Elephas maximus indicus: one gene and its partner. The protein of the gene in region 1 purifies or fractionates together with the protein of each later gene. This does not show direct contact. Links are inferred from orthologs where the notes say so. Each region holds a gene or a part of one and is shown on either strand. Other genes may lie near its edges.

What was found.
Region 2: the proteins of PRDX5 (region 1) and PRDX2 fractionate together in Homo sapiens (co-fractionation; 3 studies listed by BioGRID). This does not show direct contact. The link is inferred for Elephas maximus indicus from reciprocal best matches to the Homo sapiens genes PRDX5 and PRDX2.

Annotation. Positions count from the first base shown.
Region 1 is NC_064825.1:127,488,350-127,504,591, forward strand, and holds PRDX5 (peroxiredoxin-5, mitochondrial), read left to right. Parts: upstream 1-7,569; 5' UTR 7,570-7,726; coding exon 7,727-7,912; intron 7,913-8,991; coding exon 8,992-9,126; intron 9,127-9,598; coding exon 9,599-9,730; intron 9,731-9,806; coding exon 9,807-9,845; intron 9,846-9,977; coding exon 9,978-10,039; intron 10,040-10,149; coding exon 10,150-10,255; 3' UTR 10,256-10,394; downstream 10,395-16,242. Other genes in the region: ESRRA (steroid hormone receptor ERR1), read left to right, coding at 1-225, 3,662-3,778, 3,901-4,029, 4,387-4,554, 4,650-4,919, 5,275-5,534; TRMT112 (multifunctional methyltransferase subunit TRM112-like protein), read right to left, coding at 6,430-6,537, 6,615-6,719, 6,822-6,923, 7,013-7,090. UniProt on the Homo sapiens protein: Thiol-specific peroxidase that catalyzes the reduction of hydrogen peroxide and organic hydroperoxides to water and alcohols, respectively.
Region 2 is NC_064821.1:31,494,535-31,509,915, reverse strand, and holds PRDX2 (peroxiredoxin-2), read left to right. Parts: upstream 1-7,987; coding exon 7,988-8,090; intron 8,091-8,178; coding exon 8,179-8,332; intron 8,333-8,946; coding exon 8,947-9,069; intron 9,070-9,238; coding exon 9,239-9,369; intron 9,370-9,962; coding exon 9,963-10,048; downstream 10,049-15,381. Other genes in the region: RNASEH2A (ribonuclease H2 subunit A), read right to left, coding at 816-948, 1,057-1,180, 2,140-2,227, 2,334-2,471, 3,774-3,861, 3,993-4,119, 4,244-4,315, 4,493-4,619; THSD8 (thrombospondin type-1 domain-containing protein 8), read right to left, coding at 5,770-5,969, 7,041-7,191; transcription factor JunB, read right to left, coding at 12,914-13,957.

The DNA of each region.
Region 1 (16,242 bases):
CCGTGGCCCTGGCCCCTGGTCCAGCTCCCACCCGATGCCTCCCAGGCCACAAGGAGGAGGAGGATGGGGAGGGAGCTGGGCCTGGCGAGCAGGGCGGTGGGAAGCTGGTGCTCAGCTCCCTGCCCAAGCGCCTGTGCCTGGTCTGTGGGGATGTGGCCTCCGGCTACCACTACGGCGTGGCGTCCTGTGAGGCCTGCAAAGCCTTCTTCAAAAGGACCATCCAGGGTGAGCCCCCCACCCCTGTGCCCTCTGCCCTATACCCACTGGGCCTCACGCCACTCACTGGGTGCCCTGCTGGGTGCAGCGGCCCCCAGGCTACCATGGTCAGTCTAGTGTTCCCAGGCGCTTCCACTTCCTAGGAACACCCATTCCCTGAAAAGTTCAATAAAGCCCACCAGGATTTATGGAATGGATGGGGGTATGACAGGAGTCAAGGATGCCTGCCAGGTCTCTGGGTCCACAGTGGCTCTGAAAATTTCAAGGCAGGCCCTGCCTGTTCCTCATCTCAGTTCTTGCTTCTAGCCATTGCCAACCTCTCGTAGCATAGAACATGCCCCCTTTTTTCTCGATTTCCCCAAAGCAGCACCAACACAAGGCAGGCTTTTATGGGTGACTGAGGGGGGCTACGGCGTATTTCCATATCCAACTTGAAAAAGATTATGAGGCATCCGTGTTCTTCAGAGTCACTGCATTTTTCCTGCTTGGGAAAACATATCAAAATACAAGTGCGTGGGCAAGATGCTGATGTAACTGTGGCTGGGAATATGCCTGTTATTTATGTGTTTACTTAAACCATTGGTTACTTTGGAACATATATTTTTTTCAACATTTCTCCAGTGCTTACCTTGTGCCAGGCATGGTGCCCTTTTACTTTTAGGATCAGCCTCCACAGGAACCCCGTAAGGTGTGAGCACTATTGTCATCGTGTTTTACAGGATGGGGAAACTGAGGCTCAGAAAGTTTCTTTTTTTTTTTTTGGTGGGGGGAGGAGGGGACTTTGTTCAAGTCATACAGGTAGAGAATGGTGGAACCAGGATTTGAACTTGGGTTGATTTAGGTCCAGAGCTGAGGTCTTCAGCAGACTCCTGCCTGTTTATTACTAATAACTGAACTTCGGACAGACGCCTCACAACTGATTGTGACATTCCAGCGAGTTTTGACCTGGCCCAGATCCACTGGTCTAAAACCCTCTGTGCTCCCTCCTGGCTCTGAATACCAAGGAGCAAACAGACCAGGTCTAGGTGTTTCCTACCCACCCTGGGACTCTTTGCTCTTTGCTCACTCAGTTGACAAATACTTACTGAACCCCAGCTATAAATAGTAGCTACCATTTATTGAGCACTTTGGTGCAGTGCCCCATGTGCACGTTCTACCTGTATTATCCCCCTTAATTCTCACAACCCAGCTTTGTAATAAGATGGGAAAATTGTGGGTTAGGGATGGAACCTGCCCAAGGTCACACAGGTGGTAAGTGGTAGTATCAGAATGGGCCCCAAGCAGCCTCTAGAGCCCTCCTTCACAAATCTGTGCTTTGCTGCCCCGGCCACTGTCCCAGCATGGAGACAGAGCTGGGACCAAGGCCGGACGGGCTCTGCTCTTGAGCAGTTTATAGTCTAGCAGAGAGGAGAGATAGGGAACAATGGGCTGTACAGATTGCTCTATTACAGCTGAGGCGAGTGCTGGAGGAAGACGTACAGGTTGTGTACGGAGGGACCTGGCTGGGTCCAGGGCCTTGGAGAGCTTCCTCGAGGAGGTGTCTTGATCAGAGCATGGAAGCCCTAATAGGGTATAGGAGAAAATGCACTGTGGGGAGAAATGTGCCACCGACCTGTGGACTGCTGTATCGTTTTGGTCCCTGTGATAGCCCATCATAGCTGCAAGGGCCACCAGTAATTGTGAATGCCTACAGTGGGCCAGGGGACACTGGTGGTTCAGTGGTAGAATTCTCGCCTTCTATGCAGGAGACCTGGATTCAATTCCCAGCCTGTGAACCTCACATGCAGCCATCACCCATCTGTCAGTGGAGGTTTGCATGTTGCTATGATGTTGAACAAGTTTGAGCGGTGCTTCCAGACTAAGACTAGGAAAAAAGGTTTGGTGATCTACTTCCAAAAAATCAGCCAGTGAAAACCCTATGGATCTCAATGGCCTGGTCTGCAACCGATCACAGGGATGGCACAGAACTGGGCAACATTTGGTTCTGTTAAGCATGGGTTTGCTGAGTCAGGGGGCCAACTCGATGGCAGTTTACAACAATGACAACTGTGGGGCCAGGCCCTGTTCATACCACGGGGGACTGGGGACCATCTTGGCCCTCATGGAGCTGACACTAAAGTGGGAAGACAGATAATAAAGAACATGAATAAGCACAATATGTAGCATATTGGTTGGTCCTATGAGCTGAAAAGAAACTATAACAGTGGGTAAAGAGGACAAGAGGTGTCTGCAGTGGGGGTTTGCCATTGCAGGATGGCCAGGGAAGGCCTCCCGAGGGGACAACTGAGCAGAGACCTGAAGGACGCAAGGAGCCTGTGTGGCTATCAAGAGCCGCTCAGTCAGAGGTGACAGGATGCCCTGAGGCAGGGCCTGTGTGAGGAGCACCCAGGAAGCCGGTTGATCCGGAACGGGTGCAGACAGGGAGGTGAGGTCAGAAAGGTGACAGGGAGAGGGGGGTAGGCCTTGCAGGCCATTGGGTTCACTTTGGCTTTTACTCCAAGAAGGGACGATGTTGAAAAGTGCAGATGAGAGACAGGATCTGACTTGGGGTTGTAGGTCCCCCCTACCCCGGCCGCTGTGCTGAGAGTAGGCCGAAGGAGGCACAGCCTGCAAGATGGCAAGGGGACAGTGCTTCAGGACAGGGTGGAAGCAGTGGACAGGCAGGAGGGGTCAGATCCTGGGTATAAGGGTGGTGAGGCCCACCAGGACTTGTGGGCAGTTTGGCTGTGGGCTGTGAGAGGCACGGAGGATGCCGCCTCGGTTTCTGGCTTGAGCGTCTGAACAGATGGAGTTGCGGGCTTTGGGGCACAGATCAGGAGTTCCACTTTGGATGTGTAAGTTTGAGATACTTTCTAGACACACATGATGTTGAGGCAGTTGGATGAGTTGAGGGCAGGTCTGGACTAGAGACAGAAATTTGAAAGCCCTCGTGACTTTCAATCAAGGGAGTGAGTGGAGAAGCCCAAGGGCAGAGCCCTGGGGTTTCCGGTGGAAGGAGGTCAGAGATGCACAGAGATCGCAAAGTGGCCAGTGAGGTGGGAGGAAGACCAGAAGAGTGTGGTATTCTAGGAGCAAAGGAACATGTTAAAGTGCTTCTAGGAGCTGGAAGTGATCAACGGTATTAGATGTGCCTTTTAGGCCAAGATGAGGACTGAGACGTGACCACTGGATTTAGCAGCATGGAGGTCACTGGGACCTTGATAGCAGATGAGGGCCGAATGGCCTGAGGGCAGAGGTGCGGGCTGACTCCCCGGGCCCCAGCCATCCCTTGCCCACGCAGAGGCCCCAGCCCAGTGGGCTTCCTGCCCCTCATGGAGCTCCTGCTCTCCCTTTCCTCCCCACACCCCCAGACCTGTGCTTGACTGGCCAGTCAGGGCTCTCCTGTAGGCTGGGCCCCCTCCAGGCCCTGGGTGGCGGCCACTGGAGCCCTGCCTCTTCCTGGCAGGGAGCATCGAGTACAGCTGTCCGGCCTCCAACGAGTGCGAGATCACCAAGCGGAGACGCAAGGCCTGCCAGGCCTGCCGCTTCACCAAGTGCCTGCGGGTGGGCATGCTCAAGGAGGGTGAGCGCTGGGCAGGGGCCTGGGGGAGGCTGGAGGGAGCTGGGCGCACAAGATGGACAAGGCCTGTTGGGGAGGGCTCCACAGGGCAACCTCACGGACACAGTCCTATCCTACAATTCCAGGGGTGCGTCTGGACCGTGTTCGGGGTGGACGACAAAAGTACAAGCGGCGGCCAGAAGTGGACCCGCTGCCTTTCCCAGGCCCTTTCCCTGCCGGCCCTCTGGCAGTAGCTGGAGGTCCCCGGAAATCAGGTGAGTGCACGTGGATACCTGAAGCTGCAGGGCTGGGGTGGGGCTGGGACACAAGAAGCCTCTGTGGCATCATTCACCCCCATCTATTCATGCACTCATTTCTCTAAGAAATATTTATGAAAATGCTGTTCCTGTATCAGTTATAGGAGAACTGGGGACAGGAAGGGTTTCCTAACACTCAGAGCCTGGCTTTCCCCTGGAAGTAGCTAGAGCCTTTCCCTGGAGGGCAGTGTCTGTGCCTGGCTGGTCAGCAGCCATTGAGGAAGGCCACAGGGGGACCAACTCTGGGAAGATGCTTAACCCTAAAGGGCCTGGTGAATTTGAGTGCCCCTGAGTAGTCCCCAATTGTCCCTGCAGCCCCAGTGAATGCATTGGTGTCTCACTTGTTGGTGGTCGAGCCTGAGAAGCTGTATGCCATGCCCGACCCAGCAGGCCCCGATGGACACCTCCCAGCGGTGGCTACCCTCTGTGACCTCTTTGACCGAGAGATTGTGGTCACCATCAGCTGGGCCAAAAGCATCCCAGGTAAAGGGCCCAGTGGTCTGGGGTACCCTGGGGTCAGCCAGACCATGCCTGGCTCTGCACACTTGCTCAGTGAAGCTTGCTCCCCTGTCCTCCAGGCTTCTCGTCGCTGTCGCTGTCTGACCAGATGTCAGTGCTGCAGAGCGTGTGGATGGAGGTGCTGGTGCTGGGTGTGGCCCAGCGCTCGCTGCCACTGCAGGATGAGCTGGCCTTTGCCGAGGACCTGGTCCTGGATGAAGAAGGGGCACGGGCAGCCGGCCTAGGGGAGCTGGGGGCCGCCCTGCTGCAGCTGGTGCGGCGACTACAGGCCCTACGGCTCGAGCGCGAGGAGTATGTCCTGCTGAAGGCCCTAGCCCTTGCCAACTCAGGTGAGTCTGGGGTGGGCACTGATGGGTCTCTCCACAGGGCCCTCCAGCTTTTAGTGCTGTGATGGCAACAGGGTCCCATTTGGCAGATAAGGAAAACAGGACTCAGGGAAGAACCCTGACTTCTGAAGGTCACACAGCAAGCCAAGGGCAGGGCCAGGAATTGTACGCGTGATTTTTAACCCTAGGGCTCTGTTCACAGGGAAAGAAGGGGAGGAAGGGAAGGCAGGGAGGACCAGAGGCAGCTATAGTTGAGTGGGAAAGGGCGGGCCCCTGGCAGGAGCCTCCACCCCAAGCAGATGGGGGCTCTGCTCTTTCCGGAGATGGCCCAAGTCACAAGTTCTCCCCCTCTCTGCAGACTCTGTGCACATTGAGGACGCTGAGGCTGTGGAGCAGCTGCGAGAAGCCCTGCACGAGGCCCTGCTGGAGTATGAAGCTGGCCGGGCAGGCCCTGGAGGGGGTGCCGAGCGGCGGCGGGCAGGCAGGCTGCTGCTCACACTACCACTCCTTCGCCAGACAGCGGGCAAGGTGCTGGCCCATTTCTATGGGGTGAAGCTGGAGGGCAAGGTGCCCATGCACAAGCTGTTCTTGGAGATGCTCGAGGCTATGATGGACTGAGGCGGGGGGTGGGCACAGGCGGGGGTGCTGGCAGGACCTGCCAGCATGGGTTCAGCCCCAAGGGGGTAGAGCTGGGGCCTGGGCAGTGCCATAGCCTGCTGGCAGGGCCAGGGCAATGCCATCAGCCCCTGGGAGCAGGCCCCACATCCTCCCCTCCCCAGGGGGGTGTCAGAAGCTGGGAATGTGTGTGCCCATCCTGTGGGCAGTGCTGCCCCTTGCAAGCCATAATGTGCCCCCAGAGTGTAGGGGGCCTTGCGGAAGCCATACGGGGCTCCAGGGGTGGTGTGGGGGGCAGAAGCCTGATCTCAGGGAGGGAAGGGGGTGGAGACTACAGTCTCCCAGTGGGTGATGCTTTTGCTGCTGCTTAATCCGACCCCCCCCTCCAGAGCAGAGGGGGACTTGGAAAGCAAAGGCCTTGCCCCCTTCGCTCCTCTCCTCATCATTTGCATTGGGCATTACTGCCCCGCCCCTTGAAGCAATAACTCCAAGCAGGCTCCAACCCCTGGACCCCCTGGGGTGGCCAGAGCCCCCATTAGCTCCTACCCGGCCTCCTCAGGGGGTAGGGAGAGCACTGCCTCTATGCCCTGCAGAGCAATAACACTATATTTATTTTTTGGTTTGGCCAGGGAGGCGCAGGGACATGGGGCAAGCCAAGGCCCAGAGCCTTTGGCTGTACAGAGACTCTATTTTAATGTATATTTGCTGCAAAGAGAAACCGCTTTTGGTTTTGAAACTTTAATGATAAAAAAAAATATATCCTATCGAGCTCAAGAACACTCTGTTCGGTGTGTCACTGGGCGGACGGTTGAAGATGCACACGACAAAGCCAGCAAACAATATACAAAAAAGCAAAGATACACACGGTTCCCGAACGAAAAAGGGGTGTCTGGGAAATTTAAGTCTCGGTTTCCTCATCGTTCAGCAGCATGTTGGGGATCCCGCGGCTGATGGGGAAGAGACGTCCGGACTCTGGGCATTGGAGGGTGCCCTCCAACACGTCCACCTGCGGGGAGGGGTGACAGCTGACACTGGCGGCCTGGGGCGGGGTAACGGGGGGAGAAGGTGGTGCGCCAGTCTCACCTCCAGCAGCACGTGGTGCATCTTCCTCAGAAATTTTTCATCGCGCTCGTATCCCTCAGTCGGCGCTTTGGGGACCTCGACCAGATGCAACTGCGGGCAAGAGGCCTAAATCATGTCTGGGCATCCCTGACCTTCCCCCTCGGGCCAGAGCCAGGTCCCGGGGGAGCGGGGTGACCACCCCCGGGGTGTCCACGGGCGGGTTCTCACGGTATCTGCCGCCTCCAGAAGAGCCGCCCACTCCACCTTGGGTATCATCCGCGCCACGAAGTCGGGGTTGAACTCCACGGGGTTGATGCGGACCTCGGTGGCCTGCAGGGCGGATCGGTGAGTTAGGCAGGACGGGACCCCTGCTTCCCCATCCCACCTGGGCGAGGCGCAAGAGGACCCCGGGCAGGTACCTGGAGCCGCAGGGGATAGCCGCGGGGCCCCACCCCCCGCACATGCGAGCTCAGCAAGTTGTGGGTGAGCAGCTTCATGTCGCCACTACGCGCTCGGGCATAGACCGGAGCCGGAAAAAGGCCCGCACCCCGTGCGTCACATCCGGGGCTGCGCCACTCTATCCCATTGGACGGCCGGGAGGACCGGAAGCGGCGAGCTTGCTGGAAGTACTCTTGCCTCTCGCCAGAGCTGTGGGCCGTAGAAACCGTCGGATCACGCGCCGCCGCCGGAAGCGTCCGCTCCTGCGGCGCACGCCCACTGGTTTTGGCGGGTCCCAGCCTCCCCCGGCTCCTGGAGTGTAAGTCACTTGTGAAACAATTGCGGTGCAGGGGGCCGCGTTGAATGCAAATAAACGTGGTTTTGCCTCTCACACAGGCGCCTGACCGCCCTCCATCCAAATAGAGCGGGACCTCCCCTTTTATGCAAATAGCTGCGGGACTGCCGAGTGCTCCGCCCCGTTTGTAATTGCGGCGTGGCCCCTCCCCGTATGCAAATAAGCGGAGTCGCGGTAGCTTGGTCCCCAGCGCTGCAGCCTACTGGCCGGTGGGCGGTCGCTGGAGGCCCGCGGAGCAGAAGCCCCACCTTTCACAGGCTCTGGGGTTCGCTCGCTTCGGGCCCCGCCTCCTGCGGGGGTCGGCCCGAGAGACCTGGCGGTTGCTGTCGCAGGGCTGGGCATGGGGCTGGCGGGGTTGCGCGTTCTGGGCGGTCCAGCGGGTTTGGTGCTCAGTGGGGCGGCCGTCGTTGAGTCTGCAGCAGCGGCAGCGGTGGGAGCAGGACGGCGACCGGGAGGAAGAGGAGAGTGGACGCTTGGCGGGACTCGCAGTTTCAACAGAGCAGCCGCAGCCATGGCCCCGATCAAGGTGACCGCCTGCCTGGCCGGACCCGACCCCGTCTCTTCCCAGAACCGCCACCCGTCCCACTCGTCTGGGGGTGTCACCCTCTGTTTTGCCCTTCGGAGCCCTCCCGCCGCTGGTCCCCTCACCCTTCATCAAGACCGCCCTGACTGCTCCCACCCCCTTTCTCGCCACAATTTGGAGCTTCGTGCCCTTTTTGTCCGGGAACAGTCTAGGGCCTTCTCGTTCCCCCATCTTCTGGGACCATCTCCTTCGCCCCAGGGCTCCCTCCCCACTCTCCGCAGGTTCCCCACCGTAACCTATCCCACACTTTTGTCATTGCAAGGCATCGCTCTTCACCCCCCCACCACCCCCGCTTAAACAATTGTTGACCCTCAGAGCCTGTTTTTTTTTTTTTTTGCCCGTTCTCCTCCGCGACATTTTTCCCTCTACCCAGAGTTAATTTTCATCTTTCTGTTCAGTCTTTTACTCCTCTCGTCCTCTGAAACCACCCACAGTCCCTTCCCCCCTTTCCCTCCCACACCCTCTGAGATCCGCTCTGCCTCTACATCCCACATCCAAACTCTGGGCCCCTTAGAGACTCCCTTTTGTCTTTGCCTCCCCCAGCCCCATGCAGCCCTTCAAGGCTTTTATTCTACATTTCTGCATCAGACCGTCCATCCCCCATCTGCTGCAGGGTGGCGGCGCTTTCGGCCTGGCCATGATCCTTTCCTTCCCCATTGTCAGGGCCCCCGTCACACCTCCTCCCCTTGCCCATCTATCTTACTCATTTCCCATAACCCAGACAGCTTGTTTACTCAACCCCTTGCGACACCTGGGGAGGCTTTCTGTCCCTTTCCCTGGTGTCACCAACACACCCTTAGAAACAGCAGACATCTGTGGGCCAGGAGGATGTGGGGTAGTCTGGGTGGGATCAGGAGGGGGAGGGTGGCGGGGGGGGACATTTAAAAACTGACAGGACTGGACTTTCCAGCTGGCTCCACCAGGCCCAGCCACCAGGCAATCTCTTCCCTCCTGGCCTTGCTCTGCTGCCCCTCCCTTAGCCTTTGCCTCCTGACTCCTAACCCTGGAGCCCTTCCCTCTAGGTGGGAGATGCCCTCCCGTCAGTGGTGGTGTTTGAAGGGGAGCCTGGGAACAAGGTGAACCTGGCAGAGCTGTATAAGGGCAAGAAGGGTGTGCTGTTTGGAGTTCCTGGAGCCTTTACTCCAGGCTGTTCGAAGGTGAGGCCCTGCCCTCCTGGGGATCAGGAATTTGGGTCTTTTGTGCCTGTTTTTTATTGCTCAGAAGTCAGTGTGTCCTTCCAAAGCCCTGAGGCGGCTTAAAGTGTATTAGCAGCAGTTTAAGTATATTAGCATTCAGGAAGTAAGTAGTGGCTGTCAAAAGATAACAGTACCAGGAAGGTAGCAAAAAGGATTATTGCAGTTAAACTCAACACCTTTTGTTGGTCTTGCTGGATGGCAGGCACTGTGGAAGGCACTCCTGCCCATGGGACATTTATGGTCTTGACTACAGAGTGTTAAGTTTGAATCTGAGCTTCCAAATGGCCAAGGCAAACAGGAAATAGGGCAGTTTTGCATACTTCTCTTTGATCAAAGGAATTGAAGCAGGGAAGTGAGGAGGGGAGAGAAGGGGAGGGCCAAGGAGCAGGGGCAATCATCCCTTTGTTGACCCTTCCTTGTTTTCCTTCCCTAGACCCACCTGCCAGGGTTCGTGGAGCAGGCTGGGGCTCTGGAGGCCAAGGGAGCCCAGGTGGTGGCATGTCTCAGTGTCAATGATGTCTTTGTGACTGGTGAATGGGGGAAAACCCACCACGCAGAAGGCAAGGTGAGGTGCAGGTCCTGCCAGGGTCAGGGGTCAGGCAGGAGATTTTCCTGGTGACCTTTATTTTCTTTCTGCTCAGGTTCGGCTCCTGGCTGACCCCACTGGGGCCTTTGGGAAGGTGAGTGTGCACCCCCTCTCACCCTATGGGGTGATTTCTGTGCCAGGCCTTGGGAGCAGGGACTTAGAGGTATGCTGGGCCCATTCTGGGAGTTCCTGACCCTTTTCTCTGCCTCCGCCTCCCCCCTGCCAGGCGACCGATCTATTATTAGATGATTCCTTAGTGCCACTCTTTGGGAATCATCGGCTCAAGAGGTAAGAGTGGGAGGGTCCTCTGGGGCCCTGGCTCCTGCCAGCCCTCCTCTGTCCATTCCCAGCCCCCAGGCCCAGTCTGATCTGACTAGCCTGGCCCCTCTTTCTGGCAGATTCTCCATGGTAATAGAGGACGGCGTGGTGAAGGCCCTGAATGTGGAGCCAGATGGCACAGGCCTCACCTGCAGCCTGGCCCCCAACATCCTCGCACAGCTCTGAGGCCCCGGGCCCAGATGCACTCTCTCTATCCTCTACTCGTCTTACCTGCCCAGCCCTAAGCAGGAGGCCCAGCTCACCCTCAGGAGGGTCACTCGGTTGGAACCTTGGCCATGTTTCTGCAATAAACACTTGTAGTTCACATTCGCCTCCTTGTTTCTGAATTGCTGCTTCTCTGGGGACCAGGCCTTATGACATAGTCAGAATGAGCTGAGAACTGTGAGGGGAGTGGACAGGGGTGGGAGGGATTAAACGTAGGGAACCTAGATTTAAATAAGGGGTAGTCAGGGATGTCCTCTTGAAGGGGGTGTTATGAAACATCTATTTGGAAGCCAGGGAGGGCCCCCGAGGCTAACACAAGCTCCCGGCATATCCACGACCTGTGTGATCTCAAGTGCTGGCTGATCTCCCTGAGGCCCATAAACCCCAGGGCCAAGAATCTCAGCTCTAGGGCCCACCTGGGGACCGTCTCAGTGGCAGAAAGGATTTCAGTGGAGGCAGGGCCAGTTGAGTTCAGGTGGGTTTCCTGAGAGAGGAGTCTGTGTAGTTGAGCTGTGGAAGAGAGAAGATGCAGGTGGTGGGTGTATTGTGAGGGGCTGCAGGCCCTGCCCATGGGCCTCAGGCTCTTGGCCCTTGGAGGCTGTGTGCGTTTAGCGGGCAGTGATGCTCCACCAGGTCCTGGCCAGGTGTGCACACTTGCTGAATGTTTACTGTTGCTAGGCAGGGTGCTAAGCGCTTCAGCTTCAGGTGTAGCGACTCAATCCTCACAACAAGTCGCTTCAGCTTCAGGTGTAGCGACTCAATCCTCACAACAAGTCGCTTCAGCTTCAGGTGTAGCGACTCAATCCTCACAACAAGTCGCTTCAGCTTCAGGTGTAGCGACTCAATCCTCACAACAAGCCTGTGAGGTGTGATGTGTCCCCGCCCTGTTGTACAGAAAGGTTAAGTAAACAGGCCAGGCTTCTGCGGCCACGAGCAGGTGGAGTCAGGATTTGAACAGTGATGTCATGTGTGTTCTGTGGACTGCTTCCTGCCCAGGGGTCTCTGGGACTCAGCCCCCAGAGCTGGCTCACTCAGATCGAGAAGGTCTGGAAAGGCTGCTTGAGGAAATGACCCTGAGGTAGTGGGGACAGGCAGAAAGAGGCATGGAGGTGTGGGACAATCAGGCTACTGTAGCTTTCGGGGCAGCTGGAATAAAGATGCTGGGAGGTCAGGGGCCCTTTGAGCCTGGTAAGCGGCTTGCCTTTCATCCTGTGGGCACTTCGGGCCATTGAAGGGCTTTAAGCAGGGCAGTGACAGGTCAGATTGATACTTGGGCTACTGTGTGAGGTAGAATTGGAGCGGGACCAGCTGGGAGGTGAGGGGGAGCCATGGGGTGGGAAGGGGCAGTGAGACAAGTGATGTCCAGAAATGGCAGCCAGGACTTGGAGACCTGTTGGATTTGGGGAGCGAGGGTGAGTCCACGGGGCCACCAGGTAGAGGCTCAGGGGCCTGGGTGGTTGGAATTATGTCCTCATGGAAAAAGCACCCAGGAAAAGGATGGACTCAGCCTGCCCAAGACTTCCCACCTGCTTACCTTTTTCTGCCGCTGCACAGTGGTTAAGTGCTCAGGAGCTAACCAAAATGTTGGCAGTTTCAGTCTACCAGCTGCTTCTTGGAAATCCTATGGGGCAGTTCTGCTTTGTTCTCTAGGGTCACTATGAGGCGGAGTCAACTCGGCAACAGGTTTGGTTTTTTGATTTTGGTCTCTCCCATAGCTGCTGTCCCTGAGGGGTCCTGGGCCAGGGCAGGGCTGACGTCTCTCCAGCTTCCCAAGCCTTCGTGTAACCTGCCCACTTCTCCTCCCCTGCCAAACCTTGGGTCCTTGCTGGTGTGCTTGGTGGAAAAACCCTTTCATTCCTGGGCACCATTTTTCAATCCTTTCAATAACCCCAAGGCAGAGGTTGTCCCCCTCACGGGTGCAAAGGAGGAAACTGAGGCGTAGCATTTCCCCCAAGGTCCACAGCAGCCAGTAGGGTTAGGCTCTCTGGCCTTGAGCCCCTCTGAGAGCTCCAGGCGGAGGGAGTTCCTGAGTCAGTACCAGCAGCGTCTGTATCAGTCAAGTATGGTCAGAAAGCCTGTCCCTTGCTGTGCATCCTCGACCCCTTCTCTGCAGCCCTGCTATCACAGGAAGCCCCCATCTCTGCCACTCAGCTGCCCATTCCTCCACTCCTGGGGTTTTATCTGAGTTGGTCGAGGCCCACTGAGGCACCTGAGAGGAATGTTCCCTTCAGCATCATGTTGAACATCTGGGCCGGGAATGGGGGTGGAAGGGGGCTTCTAGGGGCTGGGTAGCCCTTTAGAACGCAGCCCAGAGGGGTTGGGGTGTCCAATGCGATGGATTGCTTTTATATGGCTTTTCTTGCCATAGTCTTATAGCCCCACCAGATGGTGGGATTATGTAAATGAGGTGCTTTTGGCTCACCAAGGGGATTGGGTAGCTTGCTAATAATGCAAATAAGGTGCATGGCACTCTTGTTGGGGTGGGACCATGCAAATAAGGTGTATGGAACACTAACAAAGGGATGGTCAATTTTCCCATCCTGCTTGGCTTAAAATGAGCCATCCCAGAGGCGGATGGGGGACCTCACTACCAGCAAGAAAAGATGAGAGTGGAGCTGGTCATTTGGACCTGGGGTCCCTGCACTGAGAATCTCCTAGACCCAGGAGGCAGAGAGGGAGAGCTGTAACGCCAGAGATGGCGTGAGACGGTGAGAAGTGGAAGCAAGCATGGCAGAGAACCAGCAACAGCAGAACCAAGAGACTTGCAGGAGATGGAGTGGTGGGCTTCCTGGCCCATAGAGTGAGAAAGCTGAGTGCCTTCGGGCTGAGGCTTACTGGGGGTGTGGGGTGGCCCCGGGCACTTATTGTTAGAGCTAAAGAGCTTTGTAACACTTGCTGGAGCAGGACAGAGGGCAAGGGGCCAGGAGGAGGCCTGCCTGTGGGCACAGCTGAGGAGTTGTCCTGGCTGAAGAACTGTATCCTGAGTCATCCCTGAGCCTGAATTGTAACCTGTTACTTCCCTAATAAATTTTAAGTATGGTCTGTGAGCTCTGTGTGGCCATTGCAACGAATTATCAAACCCAGCAGAGAAGTAGTGCCGTGGGAGGGACGGCTGGTATCAAAATTGGTAAAAAAGTTGGAGAGGAGGTATGTCTGCCCTCTGCCTCATAGCAGTTAGCCTTGGGCTGTTGATCTTGATTCTTGCCCCTTGTGAAGTTAGAGGTCAGAAGCCCCTGCACCGCCATTTTTACAGTGGACCCTGGGGTGTTGACCTGGGTGCCCTTGGCTGCTGACCGCATGGCTCAGCTCGTGGGGGTTGGGTGTCCTGGGAGAGCAGGGTCCCGGGGCCTGCCCTGTGAGTTGCTCTGGGTGCTGGAGGGCCTGAGATCAAATGGTGCACAGCAAGAGTGTCTGGCAGAGCCCTGTTTCCAGGGCAGACAGGCCAGGTTTCAGCTGGGACCAGAGGCCCTGAGCAGTGGGCATGGCTTTCCTGGTCTGTCAGTGGTCAAAGGACCAAGAGATATAGCAGTAAAACATTAAAAAAAAAAAAAACCTGAACTATCCCCCCATCTTATCCCCAAATAACTCTTGCCTTCCTGTCCCCTGCCTGACTTGCCAAAAGCCACAGCATCTCTGACCCAGAAGCCAAGGGTTTTACTCAGCATCAGTGGTTCTGGGCCTTTTCTGGGTCAAGAGTTCCCTTGCGGAGCTGCTGAGAACAATGAATGACCTTTGCCTTAGAAACTGCATATGCAGGCACGCGCACACACACGCACACATGGACTCTAACGTGCTCTTTAAGGGCCTCAAGGAACACCGAAGCCCTTCCAAGATTTCCAAGTGTGCCCCTCCCCCGCCTGGTGGGTTTCTCGGATGGATTTCGGGGTCAGAGACCCAGGCGTGGATCTCAACTTGTCTTAGACACTGGTGATCTTGGACAGGCTATTTAGTTTTCCTTACCCCTACTACTCTCATGTCTAAAGTGGGAGTATAAAATACAGCCCACCTCATAGGATGGTTATGGGGAACACGTGAAACAAGTTATGTAAAGCATTTGGCACAGTGCCTAGTCTGGAGTAAGTGCTCGATAAGTGGTTATTAGAAAAGAAATAAAGAGAATCTTCACTCTTCACCATGCAGCCTGTATGCCAGGAAGGGAGGAACTGGGAGTTGGGTCCCAGCCCTGTCGTTAGTGAATCCTGTGGCTTACACCTGTCAAGGGCCTCATTATCCTCATCCGTATAATGGAGATAATGACACTGCCTATTACCTATTGTCTACAGGCCCCTGGGATTCTCCATACCTCCTTCAGCCCCCGAAGCCTCAGAGGTTAAGAAGCAGCCAGACCTTTCCAGGGGGATCTTCCTCAAGCCCCAGAGAGTCAAACCTGAGCTTCAGAGAGAAAGAGAGCTTGGAGAGGTCCCAGCATTCCTGGCCTAGAGCAGACTTGGACCTCAGCCACGCTGACCCCGTGATCAGGAGCACTGGAGCCTGCTGGTCCCAAGGGACCACATTCTGCTGGTCCTGGGTGGGGTTTGGCTACATGGGCACCAAATAGTGACAGCAGAGATAAAGAGGATGTATGTGTGTGTGTGTGTTTGTGTAACATCTGAAGAAGTTTAGGTAACATCTGTGTGGATGCATAGATTCTTGGTGTCAATAAACATGTACATCGGTCTGCTGTGCTATTTATATTTGTATCAACTCTCCCTTCTTGAGCTAGGAAGTATGCTTTTTTACTTAACACAGGTAAGGTGCCCTGCTCAGGTGGGCAACACGGGAAACAATCAACACCTATTTTGGGAAAGAGTGAAGAAGTGAAAGAAGGGAGGGAAGGCGGAATGAGAAGCTACTTTTTCTCCAGCTTTCTGGATATTGACCCCATTGTTTAAACATAAACTTGACCACAGTCAGTTTGACTTATACCTAGATTTGCTTGGGAGCGACAAAAAACCTAAATATCAGTGATTTAAGACAGAAGCTTAACTCATGGATATGCAGTTGAATGTTGACAATGCTTAACTCATGGATATGCAGTTGAATGTTGACAATCTAGGACTAGTATGGCAGCTCCATAATCATCGTGGACCCAGGCTCCTTCCGTCTTGTTGCTCTGCCATTTTTACATGTGGCTTCAATCTCAAGATTCATTATGGCCACTTGAATTCCAGCCTTCCAACCGTCAAATCCATAGTCCAGCCAACAGGAAGGAGGAAATAAAAGTCCAGCCTTCATTCCTGGTCCTTTTTTTGAATTGGGCTCCCTGGGTGGTAAAAATGTTTAACACCCTAGCTGCTAACTGAAATGTTGCAGATTAAGTCCAACCAGAGGTGCCTCAGAAGAAAGAACTAGCAAAAAATCACCCATCAAAAACACTGTGGAGGCCACAGGAACCAGAGACTTACATCATCATCCTGAGACCAGAAGAACTAGATGGTGCCCGGCCCCAGTCGATGACTGCCCTGACAGGGAGCACAACAGAGAACCCCTGAGGGAGCAGGAGAACAGTGGGATGCAGACCCCAAATTCTCATAAAAAGACCAGACTTAATGGTCTGACTGAGACTAGGGGAATCCCGGCGGTCATGGTCCCCAAACCTTCTGTTGGCCCAGGACAGGAACCATCCTCGAAGACAACTCATCAGACATGGAAGGGACTGGACAGTGGGTAGGAGAGAGATGCTGATGAAGAGTGAGCTAATTATATCAGCTGGACACTTGAGACTGTGTTGGCATCTCCTGTCTGGAGGGGGGATGGGAGGGTAGAGAGGGTTAGAAACTGGCAAAATTGTCAAGAAAGGAGAGACTGGAAGGGCTGACTCATTAGTGGGAGAGTAAGTGGGAGTACGGAGTAAGGTGTATATAAGCTTATATGTGACAGACTGACTTGATTTGTAAACGTTCACTTAAAGCTCAATAAAAATTATTAAAAAAAAAAAAACAAAACAC
Region 2 (15,381 bases), on another chromosome or scaffold:
CAACCTGATAAGGGGTGAGAACCATGGAAGCCTTAAGCAGGGGAGGGCCCATCAGGCCACCACTTGGAGACAGAGTGGGGGGAACAGTGCCTGGAGATGAGTGGCACCAGCGTGCCAGGGTGCTAGGCAGGGTCCAGAGAACAAGCAGGAGGTAATGAGTTCCAGAGGGCTTGAGAGGCATATCCACAGGGATGTGGGTTTGCAGTCCTTTGAAAGTCCTTACGAGACAGGGTTGTTGTCAACCTCATTTTAAATAAGACCCTGGAAATAGACTTCTGGCAGGTTTAGCGTGGCGCCCAGGACTTTGCATTTCTAAGAGGACTCTGTGGTGTAAAGGGATGAGGAAGGTCTCTGGACAACCATTTGAAATTATTGGCAAGTCATATTTGGAGAAAAGAGTAATGTGCACAATTCAGGGTATAGTTTGCTTCCATTTGCGTAAAAAAAAATTTTTTTTTTTCAGGAAGAGAGTGCACCTGTATGTGTTTGTATCATGCCCCACTGTCTCTGCAGGACCCACGGGCACCTGCGAGCCCACAGTGAGCTGGGGGCAGGTTGGCTGTGCAGCTTCTCAATGTGCTCCTTTCTAATTTTGAATCATATAAATACGTCGCAGTATTTTAAAAGTAAAATAAAATCAGTCACCCAATGTCTACCCCATTTAGCTTCCCAAAGGCAGTAGCTAGGTCCAGCCACAGAACACGCCCACCACCCTGCCTCTACCTCAAAGTACAAGCCTACTCTTGGCTTTCGTTAACTGTTTTAATCACCAGCTGGGGAGAGAAGCGGCAGATAAAGGGGGGACTGCCTGGCTTTTAGAGGGTGGTGGCTGACTCCAGGCCACGCTCCTGGAAGTATCGGTGGGGGAGGCGGGGACGGGGGCCTTCACTGAGGAAGTAGGACGTGATCCTCCTGAGTCCCTCCTGATCCTCTGCCAAGGAGTCCTCCCTGTGGGAGAGAGGGGACAATACTGACCCTTTCCAGGGGATGCCAGCCCTCCAGTCAGGGCTGAGCCCGCTCCTCCCTCCACTCCTACAGCACCACCGGGGCACTCACCATGTAACACCTTCCGCCTCCTCCTCCAGGATGCTCTGGGCTGTGCGCCAACTGAACCGGACAAACTGGGGGAAGCCGAAGATGGGCTCCACATGCTTCTTCAACCACGCTTTTGTCTTGGGATCTGGGGTATGTGGTGGGCAATGGCCCCTGAGCTGCACCATAATATCCAAGCTCCTCAGCCTGGCATCTGAGGCTCTGCCACCTCATCTTAGGCCTCCTTTTGCACACCTGAGTCACCTTCCACTGCACATCTTTCTGCCTTTGCACAGGCCACCCCCCTTCACTTGCCTGACCAAGAGTTGCTCAAGTTGCAGTTTAGGGAGACTGCTGCTGAGAGATCTCCCTGACCCCCCCAAGGACAAAAGGAATTAACATTTGTTGATCTAGCTGTGCAAGTAATGATGAGCTCAGGAGAGGTAGGGAGGTCCTTGTTTGTCTTGCTCACTGCTCTACCCCCAGGGCTTGGCCTTGCATGGTATGTTACCAGGTGCTCAAAAGTGCAGAATGGATGCCCAAACTATCTTTGGCAGGGACCTGATTTCCTCACTTTGGCCTCTCACCCGAGTTCCAATCACAAACTGGCTGTGCTGCCCCACCCCACTGCCAGCCCTTCTCTGGGCCTCAGAGAAGGATGGGAAGATTCCTTGAACCCAGCCACTTCTTATCTCCCCTTATGTGTGGCGAGGGGAGGCATGATCACTCTCACTTATGGATGAGGAGACGGAGCCTCAGAGTTGGAAGAAAATGGTGGAGCTGGCATTCAAACAACAGCTGTTTAACAACAGCCTGCGTCCCTTCCCCTTAATGGGTGAAGAGGTGCCCACTTTGGGTCTCAGCCCTTCACTGGGGCTCCAAAGAACAGCAAAGTGGGAGGAGGGCCAGCTCTGCTGCACACTGGTTGTGTGGGTGTGGGCAAGTGGCACCCCTCTCTGGGCCTCAGCCCCTTCTGCTGTAGAATAGGATTACCAGAACAGTTTAGAAAACCTCAGAAGCATGCTCAGCCCTGGCCAACTTGGCATTAGTATTGCTGGTGCTACCCTGAGGCAACTCCAGAGGCAGGCTGCACCACTGTCTGCTTACCATTGGGGTAGCCCGAACCATAATCAGCATCCACGTCCTGCAGTTTCTCCACGAACTGCCAGCTCCTCACTGCCTGGTCTCGGGCCACCTGTGGGCAAGATGGGCACTTGGAATCTCCCTCCCCTGCAACAACCAGCGCCTACCCCCTGCCCACTGGGGTGCTGGAAGCTGGCCCAAGCCCAATGGGGGCTGACCTTGGCGCAGATGCTGGCAGCACTGACCACGGGGTACAAGGCATCTGCCTTGGCCTTGACTGTCACCTCAATTCCAGGAAAGCGCTGCTGTAGCCGCTCCTGGTACTTCTCTGGTAGCCCCACAGTGTCCACAAATACCTATCACAGCAACAGACACGTATTCGGTCAACACCCCAAAAAACAGCTGTGCAAATTATCCAGCCTCACAGCCTTTGCATTTCTGTTCCTGCTGCCCAGAATACTCTTCTTCCAGCTTATCCCCAGCCTGGATCTTTCTTATCAATTCATATCAGGGGTCTTGGATCAAAGGTCACCTCCCAGAACACGTATTGTGTGCCAGTTGCTATTCTAGATGCCAGGGACATGGAAATAAAAATCCCTTCCTTGTGAAGCAGACACCCTGAGGGCCACAAACAAGAAACAAGATAAATAATAAATCCTAGGGGAGAGTTGGAAGGGGTTATAATTTTAAATGGCGGTAACGGAGGTTCAAGGAAGCACTCTCTAAGGTAATGACATTTCAAGAAAGATCTGAAGGTGAGTGAATAAACCATGTGGAGATCTGGGAAAGAGTGCTTAGGCAGAGGGAACTGCCAGTGCAAAGGCCATGAGGTGGGACCACATCAAATATGCTGGAGAACAGTAGGGAGCCACAAGGCTGGAATAGAATGCTGAGAAATAAGATCATGAAGGTAACAGGGACAAGTGATGTCTTCAGGGCAGTCACCATTCTCAAAGGTTACCTTTATTCTTTAGTTTACCAGCTGATCGTCCATCTCCTCTCACTAGGCCTTGAAGCCGAGAGCAGGGCCTACGTCTGTCTGCTCCAGGGCTGCCTTGCCAGCTCCTCCTGCTGGGGATGGGCCTCAGCTACCTCCTCAGGGAGGTTTCCCCTGTTACCTTCCCCAACTCAAGTATTCCCCCTTGTCGTTGTCTCAAAACAGTCTGTTCTTTGCCTCCGTACACTCAATGTAATGTTGATTCATGCTTCTCTGTAGTAATTTAACCTCTTCCTTACTCAACTCTGAACTTTCCTGATTTAAATCTTGTAATTAGTAAATTAAATGTCAGACAGAAGAGGGAACAGGAGTGGAGGCGGGGAAACCAGGGAGGAGCCTGGGGCAGGAGTCCAGGTGGGGGTGTCCTGGGCCAGGATGGAGGCTGTGGGCAGGTGGACAGATGTGGGATTTGTTCTGGACACTAAGTCTTTAGGAAGACTGATTAGATTGGGGGAGGGGAGACTGAGAGAACCACGCTGGTCCTTGGTGGGACATGGATTTCAGGCAGAAACAGGGGTAGAAAGTCAACAGCAGGAAGCAACACTGCTGAGGCACTTGCCATGCTTCTGATGCTGAACCTGCCCACTGTACTTTTTCACCCCTATTTTATCTAGAGGTGATCAAATGGGGGCAACCCAGGTACCAAAATACTTAGGCTCACCTGGGTGACTTTCACACCCCGGTCCAAGGCATACTGCACCAGCCCAGCGGCCGTATCATGGGACAGGGAGTTCAGATTGTATTTGACCCTGAGGTTTAAGAGCAGAGCCTAGTGAACCCCTTGCAGCCACAGAGCCAAACCTCCCCATGCTCTCTACCTCCCCCAGAGAGCTGGCTGCACCTCCATCCCGACCACTCTGGGGGTGGGGAGACCCCTCACCGCCCAAGCATGCTGGTGGAGATGAGGTTTGGAGACAGCACGTCCAGCGCCCAGCCCACAAAGTCCCTGTCCTCCTTCATTTTCGCAAAGAGCCGGTCCCGCTCGCTCTCCGACAGGGTCTTCGAGTCTGGGAGGATTGGGAGAGAAGGTTTCTGGTTCTCTCACTTCCTGCCCTCCTCCAGCTCTCACTTGCCCTGCATATACCCTGGAACCACCTCTCAAGACGTACTCCCTCGACACCCCGGGCTCACCTGCCACTTTCAGGGCCTCCAGATCTGCCAGGCGGGACAAGGGGCAATAACAGATGGCGTAGACCATGGGGCCTGGGGAGGAGAGGTGTCAGGTTTCTGGAAGTGGGGGTGGCTCCCGAATCCAAGCAGCGAGTATCGTGAAAACCCCCATTCCTGTTCTATCACCACCGCTTTTTTCGTCCACTGGCACAATGCCATGGCCATCATCATTCTCACGCCCCTCCCCCGCCCCTGGCCCTTGTGGCGCACCCAGCACAGGGCCCCGGCCCGCCTCATCCACGCCCAGGACGCAAGGCTCCTTGCGGCACACCGCGGGCACAGGTGAACTCAGGCGACAGCGGCCCGTATTGTTTCTCTCCAGGTCGCTGAGATCCATGCCGCCGCTTCTGCCGCCAGTGCCAGCCGCAGAACCGCCGGCTGCAAGCGCAGGCCTCGGCGCGCGTCTTGCGCGGGCTCAGCAGCGGCGCTCACTCGGGACCAATCGGCGCACAGGACACACGCCCGACGCCGCTGACGTTCGCGCAGCCGACGCGGACGCCGCTGCCGCTCAGCTTCCTGGAAATTGTAGTTCTCAAGATCGATAGCGAAGAGCTTCTGGTGAAGAACGGGGTAGACTGGGCCCCTATCCAACCTGCGTTCTGCCGGCTCCGGACCCCCGCCCATAGGAGCTGGTGGAAGGAAAGGGAAATAAAGGGAGAAACTGAGGCAGGGCATGGAGGACCCAGCCCTGTAGGGGTCTAACCTAGTGCCGTCGAGTCGATTCCAAAGGTCAAATATAACTACGCTCCCCAAACACGGGCCTCAGCATCACTGGGGCTCCGTCCCCCACTTGGATTCAGGCCCTTATATTCGAAATCCCTGCCACCTACACAGCCTAAGCTCCCTGAACTAGGTACCCCCGCTCTTACGTGAGCTCAGGCCGTTATACTTGGGGTCCCCACCCTCCCTGTCTCAGTCACTTTTTTGGAATCAGGATCCTTGCCCCCCACAGGGTCCCTGCCTCCCACCCTGTCTCACTCGGGCTGAGCCTCCCCGTCCCTCGAATTAGAATCCCAGAGCCCAAAAGGTTTACAATCTCGGGCTCAGGGCTTCCACTCATTATACAGGCTCATTCCCCCAATTCAAGGTTCATGCCCTCCCCTTCCCCCACCCCCACCCCCCACTGTTCTTCCTCAGTCCCCCAGTCTCAGCGAAGCTCACTTCTCTCAGTCCTGTCTGCGATCCTTACCGCTTCTCTCCCTCTATCCCCAGGTTTCAGCCGGGCTATCGTTCTCGGTCTGTGCGTCAAGGCCTTTCACCAGGCTAACGTCCCTTACTCAAGGTCCCGGTTCACCCCTCTGCGTCGTCCCCATTCCTGTCCCCTTCTGCCTGTGGCTCCTGGTTCCCTACCAGGGCCAATCTCGTTGGCTTTGGGTTCCCACCCCACGCAGTCCTTCCACTCTGCGAGCCCCACTCCTGCAACTCACGTCCCTGAACTTGACAGCCCCCTAGGCCCCGCCCCCTCTGCGCCAGTCTCTCACGCGGGCTCAGGGCCTCCAGTTGCACTGGATCAGCTTGCAGGATGGACAATCTCCTTGCCGGCAGGGCCGCATCTGCACCAGGTTCTCACGATCCATGAACACAGGGGCCGGTGCCGTACCCTGCACCTCGCGGCTGCGCTCCTCCTTCCCCAGGTCGCAGAGGCAGCGCCAATTTCCCCACGGGCTCAGGATCGAGTCCTCCACGTCTGGGGGTGGAGGGCTGAGATGAAGACCCAGGTAGAGGGGAACAATCCCCCTATGCCCTCTTCTAGCTACAGAGCCAGGTGCAGAAACTGAGACCTAGAGAGAGCGAGCCACCCTTCTGAGGTCACACATCTGACAAGTGGCCCAGCGGGATGCAAACTGACACTTCCCACCTGCGCCAACCCGCCCAGCTGGGAGTATGGTACACCACCCTTGGTGCTTGGTGCTTGGTGCTTGTCTTCAGAAGTTGACTGCGGCCTTGAGGGAGGTGGCCTTGGCCTGTTCAGCGGGCACCATGCCACCAGACCAGCAGAGCTGTCAGGTGGTGAATTAAATGACTAATTAAATGATATAATGAAGATACTTAAAGCCCCTAGCACTGTGTTAGCACACAGAACAAAAAGAATTCTAATCATCACTTTTAAAGCAGCTATCACTTATGGAGCACTTAGTGGATGTTCTTTACGAAAGCTCTTCTGCTGGTTCCTCCCTATGCCCGTATGAGACAGGTCTTATCCTGATTCTACCACTCATAAGGCCAGGGCCCGCTGATCACGTCCTCTACAACTCTCTCCTCACCAAGCCTCCACCACCCTGGCCTCTTTCCATTCCTCCATTAGGTCTTTTGGCCTTTGTACATGCTGTTCCCCTTTCCTGGCACACTCCTTCCACCCAGTCCTTGCATTTTTGGCTTTTGTTTGTCAGTCCAGCTGCACTGGTTATATATCTTCTTTAGCAGGGCCTTCTGTGACTTTCCAAGCTTACCCGCCCCCTCCTGTCTCTATCTCTGCTCTTCCTAGCACCTACCCATGAGTTTATGGATGTCTGCTTCTGTGCTTATTGCCTGCCCACGTCCCCTCTCCAGCTGTGAGCTGCTTAAAGTCAGCCTCTTTTCCAATTTATAGATGAGAAAATTGAGTCTCAGAGAAAAGTAATCAGCCCAAGGAGAGACCGCCAGGGAGGAGTAAGGCGGGAATCTAGAGTTCGTGGGAGGAGGTCTCCTTGCAGCCGGCTGGCCAAGTAGGGTCATGGAAACATCATTCGGGGTCGTCACCCCTGCCACCTGCGGTTACCTTTCGGTTGCTGCAGCCGCCGCAGCTGCTCCCAAGTGTCGCCTTCGCCCTGATCGCCGAAGTACTGGTAGTCGTAGGACCCCTGGACAGGCGTCGCCAGGAGCGGGAGTATCAGAGGCAGCAGAAGCAGCCCCGCCCGGCTCCGGGCCATGCGAGATTCCAACCGCCCACAGCGCGCTCCCGGGCCTAGCCTCACGTGGACCCGCAGCTCCTTCACTAACCCCGCGGGCCTGCATGGTGGTCGCGGCCGGCGGCTGCAGGTCTCCCCAGCCGCCCGCGGTGCGTGGAGCCGACCGGTTGCGCTCCCCTCTCTGCCCGACTCAGTGGACCCGACCGCTCCGTTCGTCTGCCACGCCCCCCCCCCGCCACGCCCTGCGCGTCATGGTTCGGGCCGCGCATAAAAGGCTCCGCAGCCCCTGGTGCTCGTGACGCTGAGATCCAGAGTCCGCCCGTCTGGCTGTCCTTGCGTCCAGCCCTAGCCCACGCAGGTATAGACACCGGGTGTGCACCCGGCTGGGGGAAGCCCCTTTCGAGCAGCTCCGGCCCTATCCGGACCTTATCGCTGGCTGCCTTTGTTTTCCTCCCGCCGCAGTAGCCGCCTTTGTCCTTGAGGGGGAAACCGAGGCCGGAGCCTTGGAGTACAGGCCGGATCGCCGGGCTCCCCGCCCCCCTGCTCGCGGGGGCTTCGTTGTCTCCTACTGGGACTGGGGGCTTGCGCCAACAAGCTAAGGGGGGTCAGGCAGCAGCGGCCGGGCCGCTGGTGCTCTGGTCAGTGGGCGGCTCCCAGTAGCCTCAATATCGCGTAGACCTGGTACCAGGGAGGGCGGGGATCAGTGTTGCTGCCTGTGCTGCTCTAACGGGGCCCCCGCACGCAGCATGACCTTGGAAAGGGAAGACAAAAGGTCTTCCCGGGCGGGCTGACCGGGCTGGGGTCTCAGCTTTCAGTCATGGCCTCCGGCAACGCGCACATCGGAAAGCCCGCCCCTGACTTCCAGGCCACTGCAGTGGTGGATGGAGCCTTCAAGGAGGTGAAGCTTTCGGACTACAGAGGTGAGGACAGCCTAGAGGAGGCCCAGGGAACTGGCCCAGGCATAAGGGGGTCTGGGCCCTAACTCCTCGTTTACCCCTACCCACCCAGGGAAATACGTGGTGCTCTTTTTCTATCCGCTGGACTTCACCTTTGTGTGTCCCACCGAGATCATCGCTTTCAGCGAACATGCTGAAGACTTCCGCAAGCTGGGCTGCGAGGTGCTGGGGGCCTCTGTGGACTCTCAGTTCACTCACCTGGCTTGGTATGAGGGGAGCACAGGAGGAGGGTAGTATGCCGCTAGGCCCATACCTTAGGGTCTGAGCTGTGTGGCTGCATGACCATTGCTCAACTTCTGGGCCTCCCTTTCCCCATCCTGAAAATAATGGAAATAATGACACCCAGTTCTTAACGATGATGACAGTAATTAGCATTTGGAAACTCGTTGCTTGTCGCCCAGAGTCGCAGACGTTTTATCTCACATAGTTTTTGGGAGGGAGGCTGTACTGCCCCATTTTGTGAAGGTGGAAACTCCAGTTCAAGGGCGTAAAGGGCTGGGCCCCAAGTTACAGGGCTAGAGAGGAGCACCAGGACTCTAGCACATGTTCCCCCCCCTTATGCTGGAAATCAGTAGCATGTGTGAAGGCACTCCTTTGGAACTGGAGTGCCAGTCTGTAGGCTTTAGTCTTCCCAGGCACCAGAAACAGCCCCTGCACACACTTCAGGGCGGGGTGGGTGTGTCTCCCAGGGCTCTGCTCTAAAGCCCCTTATCTCCCACCTCCAGGGCCCCCCCCATACTTATCTCACCCGGGCCCAAAGGGTGAGGACCCCGCTGTGCCGGGCCTCCTGTGGTGCCAGTCCCGTCTTCCCAACCCCCAGGATCAACACTCCCCGGAAGGAGGGAGGCTTGGGCCCCCTGAACATCCCCCTGCTGGCTGACGTGAACAGAAGTTTGTCCCATGATTATGGTGTGCTGAAGGAAGATGAGGGCATCGCTTACAGGTACAGTGAAGCCCTCAGTCAGGCTCAGGGAGCCTCATCCCCAGGGTGAGGGGACCATGCTTGGGCAACGCCCTCTCTGCTCCCAACCCTGTGTCTGGCAAGAGGTGGGTGCTCCCTGTTCTGGTCCTGGGAGTTCCCAGCTCCTCACCATGAGCCTTGATGTCTTCAGAGGTCTCTTCATCATTGATGGAAAGGGTGTCCTTCGTCAGATCACAGTCAATGACTTGCCTGTGGGGCGCTCCGTGGATGAGGCTCTGCGGCTGGTCCAGGCCTTCCAGTACACGGATGAGCATGGGGAAGGTGAATAGTTCACACACAGCTCCTCTGTCATTCACGCAAACATTTACTGTCAGCCCTTCCACCTGAGCAGGGCAATGTTAGGGTCCCATAGGCGATTCAGCTCAGGGCCTTGTCTTCAGGAAATGCCTCATGTGGCGGGAGAGATACCCCAATAGAATACAAGGATGGAGAACTGGGAGGTAATACAAGCCATAGAAAGTATTTGAGGCGGTGCATACTGAGTCAGGTTTGAATAATGTTAGCTGGATCAGAGAACCTTCTCATGTGGAAGGGATAGTCTGGCCATAGACTCAAAGTCAAGCAAGGCTAGGCTGAGGGACTGAGACTGGGTTGAAGGGCCTAAAAAGAAAATGAGGATAAAAACAGGAAAATTATTAGCCAGAAAATACTACAGCTGGGCCTGTGAGGGTAAACACAGATGATAGAATGGTGATTGAATGGAGGACTTCTATCAACATGTGTATTCCTGGACCTGAACCACTAGGCCCAGGATTTTTCTTCTTCAACTCAGGCTCTTGTTTTGCCTCTGTTAGTCCCCTACTACTGTCCCTGCCTTGAACTTGGGGCTCACACATGTCTGTGTCTTCCCACAGTATGTCCCGCTGGCTGGAAGCCGGGCAGCGACACCATCAAGCCCAACGTGGATGACAGCAAGGAATACTTCTCTAAACACAACTAGACTAGCAGGCAGGGAATAAGTTTGGGCCCTCTTTCCCCACCTGTTCCCCTGCATGGGTGCCCCATGCTGACCCAGGAAAGGCCAGACCTGTCCCCTTGAAACTCCCCAATCTGGGATCCTGGAGGGTGGGGCTAAGGCCCTCTCATGCCCCCACCTGGAAGCTGATGGATGGTGACCCTCCCTCCCCAGAGCCCACCCATCGGGGCACAGACCTAAGGAGACCAATAAATTATTAGGACAGGTGCAAATCTGTGTCGGTGTCATCTGTCCTGGCAGTGCCCCCAACTCCCATGTGCTTTCTCCAGCCTCCGGCCTGGGAAACTGACCCTGAAGTTACTTATCTCTACCACAAGATGGCAACCTTACCTCATGGTCACTGCTAACTCTTCTCCCTCCTTTTCCTCGGTCTGAGGGCAGTTCTGGAGTGGTGGGGAGGAGAAGATGCTGTTTGCCCCTGGCAAGGAGCAGTCTCAGGATGTTCTACATCTTGAAACTTGGCCTTCCAAGGCAGAACCCATAATTTGCTATCATCCAGTCTGAGTTCAAATGCCCTTTAATAGCTGTGATCTTCCCTGGGTGACTGGAAGTAAAGACAATCAAGCCATATCACTATGCTTAAAGGAGATAATGTGAAGCCCAGGGCTGGGTCCCTGCTTAAGGCCCAGTGAATGGCTACTAGGATGGTTGCCTTTGGCAGGACAGAGCCTAGTCGAGTCCAGTCTTTTGGGACCCAGTCCTGAGCTACATGCCCAGCCCCTGCTGCAGGCTCTGTTCAACTCCAGCCTGGAAGGGCTGCCTGTCTATCCTTGGCAAGGGTGACAGGGTGAAGGGTGGAAGGGTGAGCGTTAGGCAAGGGGCAGGTGTTAGGAGCAAGGCAGTGTTCCCAATGGTTACCACGCTGCTGCATAGTCTGATGCTGTGTAGGATCAGACAAGTGACTTTGCCACTCTGAGCCCCAATTTCCTTCCACAGAACTAGGCTGATATACACATTTAACCCACAGATTATTGACATTGTTACCCAGCCTAATCCCCTCCAAGTGTCACTCATCTCCCTCGGAATTTAATCTACGCTCCCCTCCAAGGCTTATGAGGCCTGACTGGCCTTCCCTGCCCTCATCTACCCCACCTGTGGCTCACTCAATTCTTGCCACCCTTGAGTTTCTGGCTGTTTCTTAACAGGCTGATTTTATTCTGGCCACAGGAACTTCAAAAGTGCTGTTCCCCCTGCCTCGCACACTCACTCTTCCCGGGATTTTCTCCAGGCCACCTCCTTCAAATCTGCTGAAAAATTGCCTCGCTAAAGGTCCACCCTCTCAATACACCCTCTATGGTTCCATCACTCTACGACCTGGATCTGTTTTTTGTTCTTCCTAGCACTTACCACCATCACGGAATGTTTGATTGTTTATTGCCTGTCTGCCGTGGTCCAGGTTACGTCTCCAGACTCTGCTCAGTATTTTATAAACGAGTTAGTGAAGTGCCTGTTCTACGCACCCCACCCCTATGGCCTGGTTTCTCTCTGTTTTCCTTCGCTGCTCTGGAGGCTTCCATCTGTTGCCGCAGCCGCCCCCCACCCGTTCCAGTAGCGGGGGAGGGAGCCCCGTGCGAGGGCGGTGGCGATGCCCGGCGGCCCAAGCAGCTGCCCCGGCAGGACCAGTCCTGGCAGTCACCCCGCTCTCGGCCTGGCACCCGGGAGGGGAAACAGTCAGGCGGGCACCGCCCTTCCTGGCGGGGGCAGGGTGGAGGACAGCGGCGGCAACGGCGCGGAGGCTACAGCGATCCCCTGCCTGGGTCAGGTCAGACTGAGGGGGCGTGGACGCGACCAGGCTCCGGCGCCAGCCTAATGGGGGAGTCTGCGGGTGGTTCCCGGGGCCCGGGAGCGCGGCCCGCCCACCCCGGGCGCTCTGGACCCAGGCCTGGGGCTTTCCGGGCCCGGGCAGACGCCTGCCCGGGAAAATCCCGGCCCCCTTCCCGGCGCTGCGGCCCTGCCCGGCAGAGCGGGGGAGGGGATTCCCGGAATCTGCCCGGAGACCGCCAGCGCGTCACTGGGCAGAATCGGTCCATGTATGGGCAGCGCTTCCGCTGCGTCAGCGGGGAAAGCCCCGGCGCGCGGGGCTGGGCGGGCCGCGTCTGCGCACTTCGCGTCGCGCCCTTGGGACACTGACCGCGTCCCGCACCTTCCAACCCCCGGGGACCACCAAGCTCAGGATATGAGGGCCGGACCGCTAGGCTGGGACATTAAGATGGCTGGACAGGGCTGGAGAGGGGGATGCAGGCACTGGAGTGAGCCCCAAACAGCGGTGGGGTGAGGGCCGCCCAGTACTCTCCTCCCTCCGCCCGCCCGGCTTAGAAAAAAAGACTCCAGAAATTAATAAAGAACTATTTTTTTTTTACTTAAATAAATTCAATAAAAAGTCAGAACAATAAACGCACACACACACACAAACACATCTTAAAATAAACCAAGCGTGTTTCCACTCCACAGTATAGTGCAGAGGGGGGAGGGCAGGGGGCGAGGTCCCCTCCCCAGTGTCCCCGCGGGCTTGAGTACCAGGCAGCGGGGCCAGCTCCGCCGCCATCGCCCCCTCCTCCCCTCCCTGTTAAATACACAAATATATTATATTCAATATGAATTGAGTCTGTTTCTAGAAGAGAAAAAAAAACATACAAAAACGTGGAAGGGGCAGCTTGTAAACGTCGAGGTGGAAGGATTGGGCGAGAGCCAGCAGGCCAGAGTCCAGTGTGGTTTGTGGCGCCCCTAGGCCCCGGGGCCGGTGTCCACGCCTGCCTCCTCGCCCCCCCTGGGAGGCGTGCGCCCAGCCGTCCAGGCTGGAGGGGGTGTCCGTACATAGCGGGGAGGCGCTCAGAAGGCGTGCCCTTTGACCCCGAGCAGCAGCTGGCAGCCGTTGCTGACGTGGGTCATGACCTTCTGTTTGAGCTGGGCCACCTGCTCCCGGAGGAGGCCGGCAGTGTTCGACAGCCCCGCGTTCTCGGCCTTGAGCGTCTTCACCTTGTCCTCCAGGCGCGCGATGCGCTCCAGCTTCCGCTTCCGGCACTTGGTGGCCGCCAGACGGTTCCTCAGCCGCTTGCGCTCCACTTTGATGCGCTCCTGGTCTTCCATGTTGATGGGGGACACCGGCGGCGTGGCGTCGCGGCTGCGCGCCTCCGGCACTGTCTGTGGTTCCTCCTTGAAGGTGGAGGCGCCACGGCCCAGGCCCAGCTGCGCAGGGTGGCCGCCGGCAAACGGCGGCGCGTGTGGGAGGTAGCTGATGGTGGCCGTCGGATACGAACTCCCGGTCCCGACGGCGGCCCCGGCGCCGCCAGAGGGTGCAGACGCCGGGGAGAAGCTGCTGAGGTTGGTGTAGACCGGAGGCGGCTCCGGACCCGCGTAGACGCCGCCGGGCCCGGCCGGGGGACCTCCGCTGGCGCCCAGAGACACGTTGGGGGGCGTCACGTGGTTCATCTTGTGCAGGTCGTCCAGGGCTTTGACAAAACCGTCGGCGAAGCCCTCCTGCTCCTCAGTGACACCTCCCCCTGCACCCCCTGCACCTCCGCTGCTGCCACCCCCGCGGGGGTAAAAGTACTGTCCCGGTGGCGTGGGCGTCGTCGTGATCACGCCGTTGCTGTTGGGGACGATCAGGCGCTCTAGCTCCGACGAGGCGAGCTTGAGCGAAGCGCCCGAGTCCGAGCCCTGGCTGGAAAAGTAGCTGCTGCCTCCGCTGCCCTCTGGTCCGGGGCCCCGCGCCCCGGCCGCTTTAAGGCCTCGGTAGGGGTCGGCCAGGTTGAGCGCCAGGCTGGGTTTCAGGAGTTTGTAGTCGTGTAGAGCGAGGCCGCCAGGGGCCCGGCCATAGCCCGCTGCTGCGTATGAGTCGTCGTGGTAGAAAGGTTGTTCCATTTTAGTGCACATCCGGGCGGCCCGGCGGGCTTGGGGGCGGGGGGGGTGGTCCCTGCGGGGCCGCCCGGGGCCTCGCTGCAGCGACCGGTGCGCTGTCCGCGGCGGTGACCGGACTGATTGTCGGAACGCGCGTTCCCGGCGACTGGTTCGGGCGGGGAGCGGCCAGCCGGCGGCTGTGCGCGAAAGCTCTACCCAGCTTCCCGTGTCCTCCTCGCCCTCTCTAGTGCGCTCGCTTTCTCTGTGTCGCTTGCCCCCGCTCCCCGTTCCCTGAAGATTCCGAAGGTGGCCTGGCCGCGCTCAAGGTCCCGGCCGCTGAGCAGAGAGGCTGGTCTTTATATGAGCTGTCAGCTGCGGAAGTGCGCTCGGATTGGCGGTCGCCCGAGCCCGGCCCCCGCGCCCCCCTCTTCGAGCGTGGGGAAGGGGAGGAGGCGGCTCGCGTCACTGTCAGGAAGCGCGTGTCCTTGTAAACAGCGGCCATGGGCCGTGTGGCTCGGCGCGGCTGCAGGGGAGGGGCTGGGGGACCCCGGAGTACGCGAGGAAGGATCTGCTGGGGGACACGAGGCATCTGGGGGAGGGGCTGAGAAGGAGCAATGGCTCCCTTGGAGTACACCTGAGAAAAAGGAGGACAGGGTACAGAGGAAGTGGGGGCGGGTATCCCAGGGTGTAAGCGAAAGGCCTGAGGGACCCGAAGTATTCCAGAGGGGTTGGGACTCTGATAATACCCTGGGAGCCCAAAAAAACAAGGGGAAGAGGGTTAAAGCGAGTAAATGGGAAGGGGTGGGGAAACGCCTGGCACAGGAATTGAGTGGGGGTTCCGGAACTTTTCACAGGAGGGACTTAGAAAAACGAAGAAAGGCAACGCTTAAAAAGGATACAAGAGGAGAAGCTGGAGGACCCATTATACCAGAAATGAGGAGGGATGCTGGCATCCATGGGACAATCTGAGGGCCCTGCCTAAGTGGGGGAGGAATGAAGATGGGGAAATTTAGATATGCATAAAGGGATGCGGGTCCTCGGGTACAGTTGGCCAGGGAAAATACGTGGAGTAGAAAATGGAATATGTCTGTCAGGGGCACTAGGTTGGGGAGTCACCGGGGTAATCTGTGAAGCCATGATGGAGAGTTAGAAGGGTTGGAACATATATTCAAATCAGAGGACAATGGCAGGAGGGTCCCCAGCTGAGATGTGCGAGGAAGGGGCTCCCAGGATCCTGGGGACTAGGCTGTGCCGAATCTTCCATGACTAGCGCAACCCCATTCGTAGTGACCCATCGGCGCCCGAATACTCTGTCCCCAGCTCCATGGCCTCCCCCATTGACCCTGGGCTTGCCCTACACCGTGTCAACTTCGGAGCCTGGACCCAGCCCGATGGCCGGGGCGCGGTCGCCCAACCCCACTCCCTTCCTTAGAAACAGGCTGGGGAAAGAGCGTGGCGGC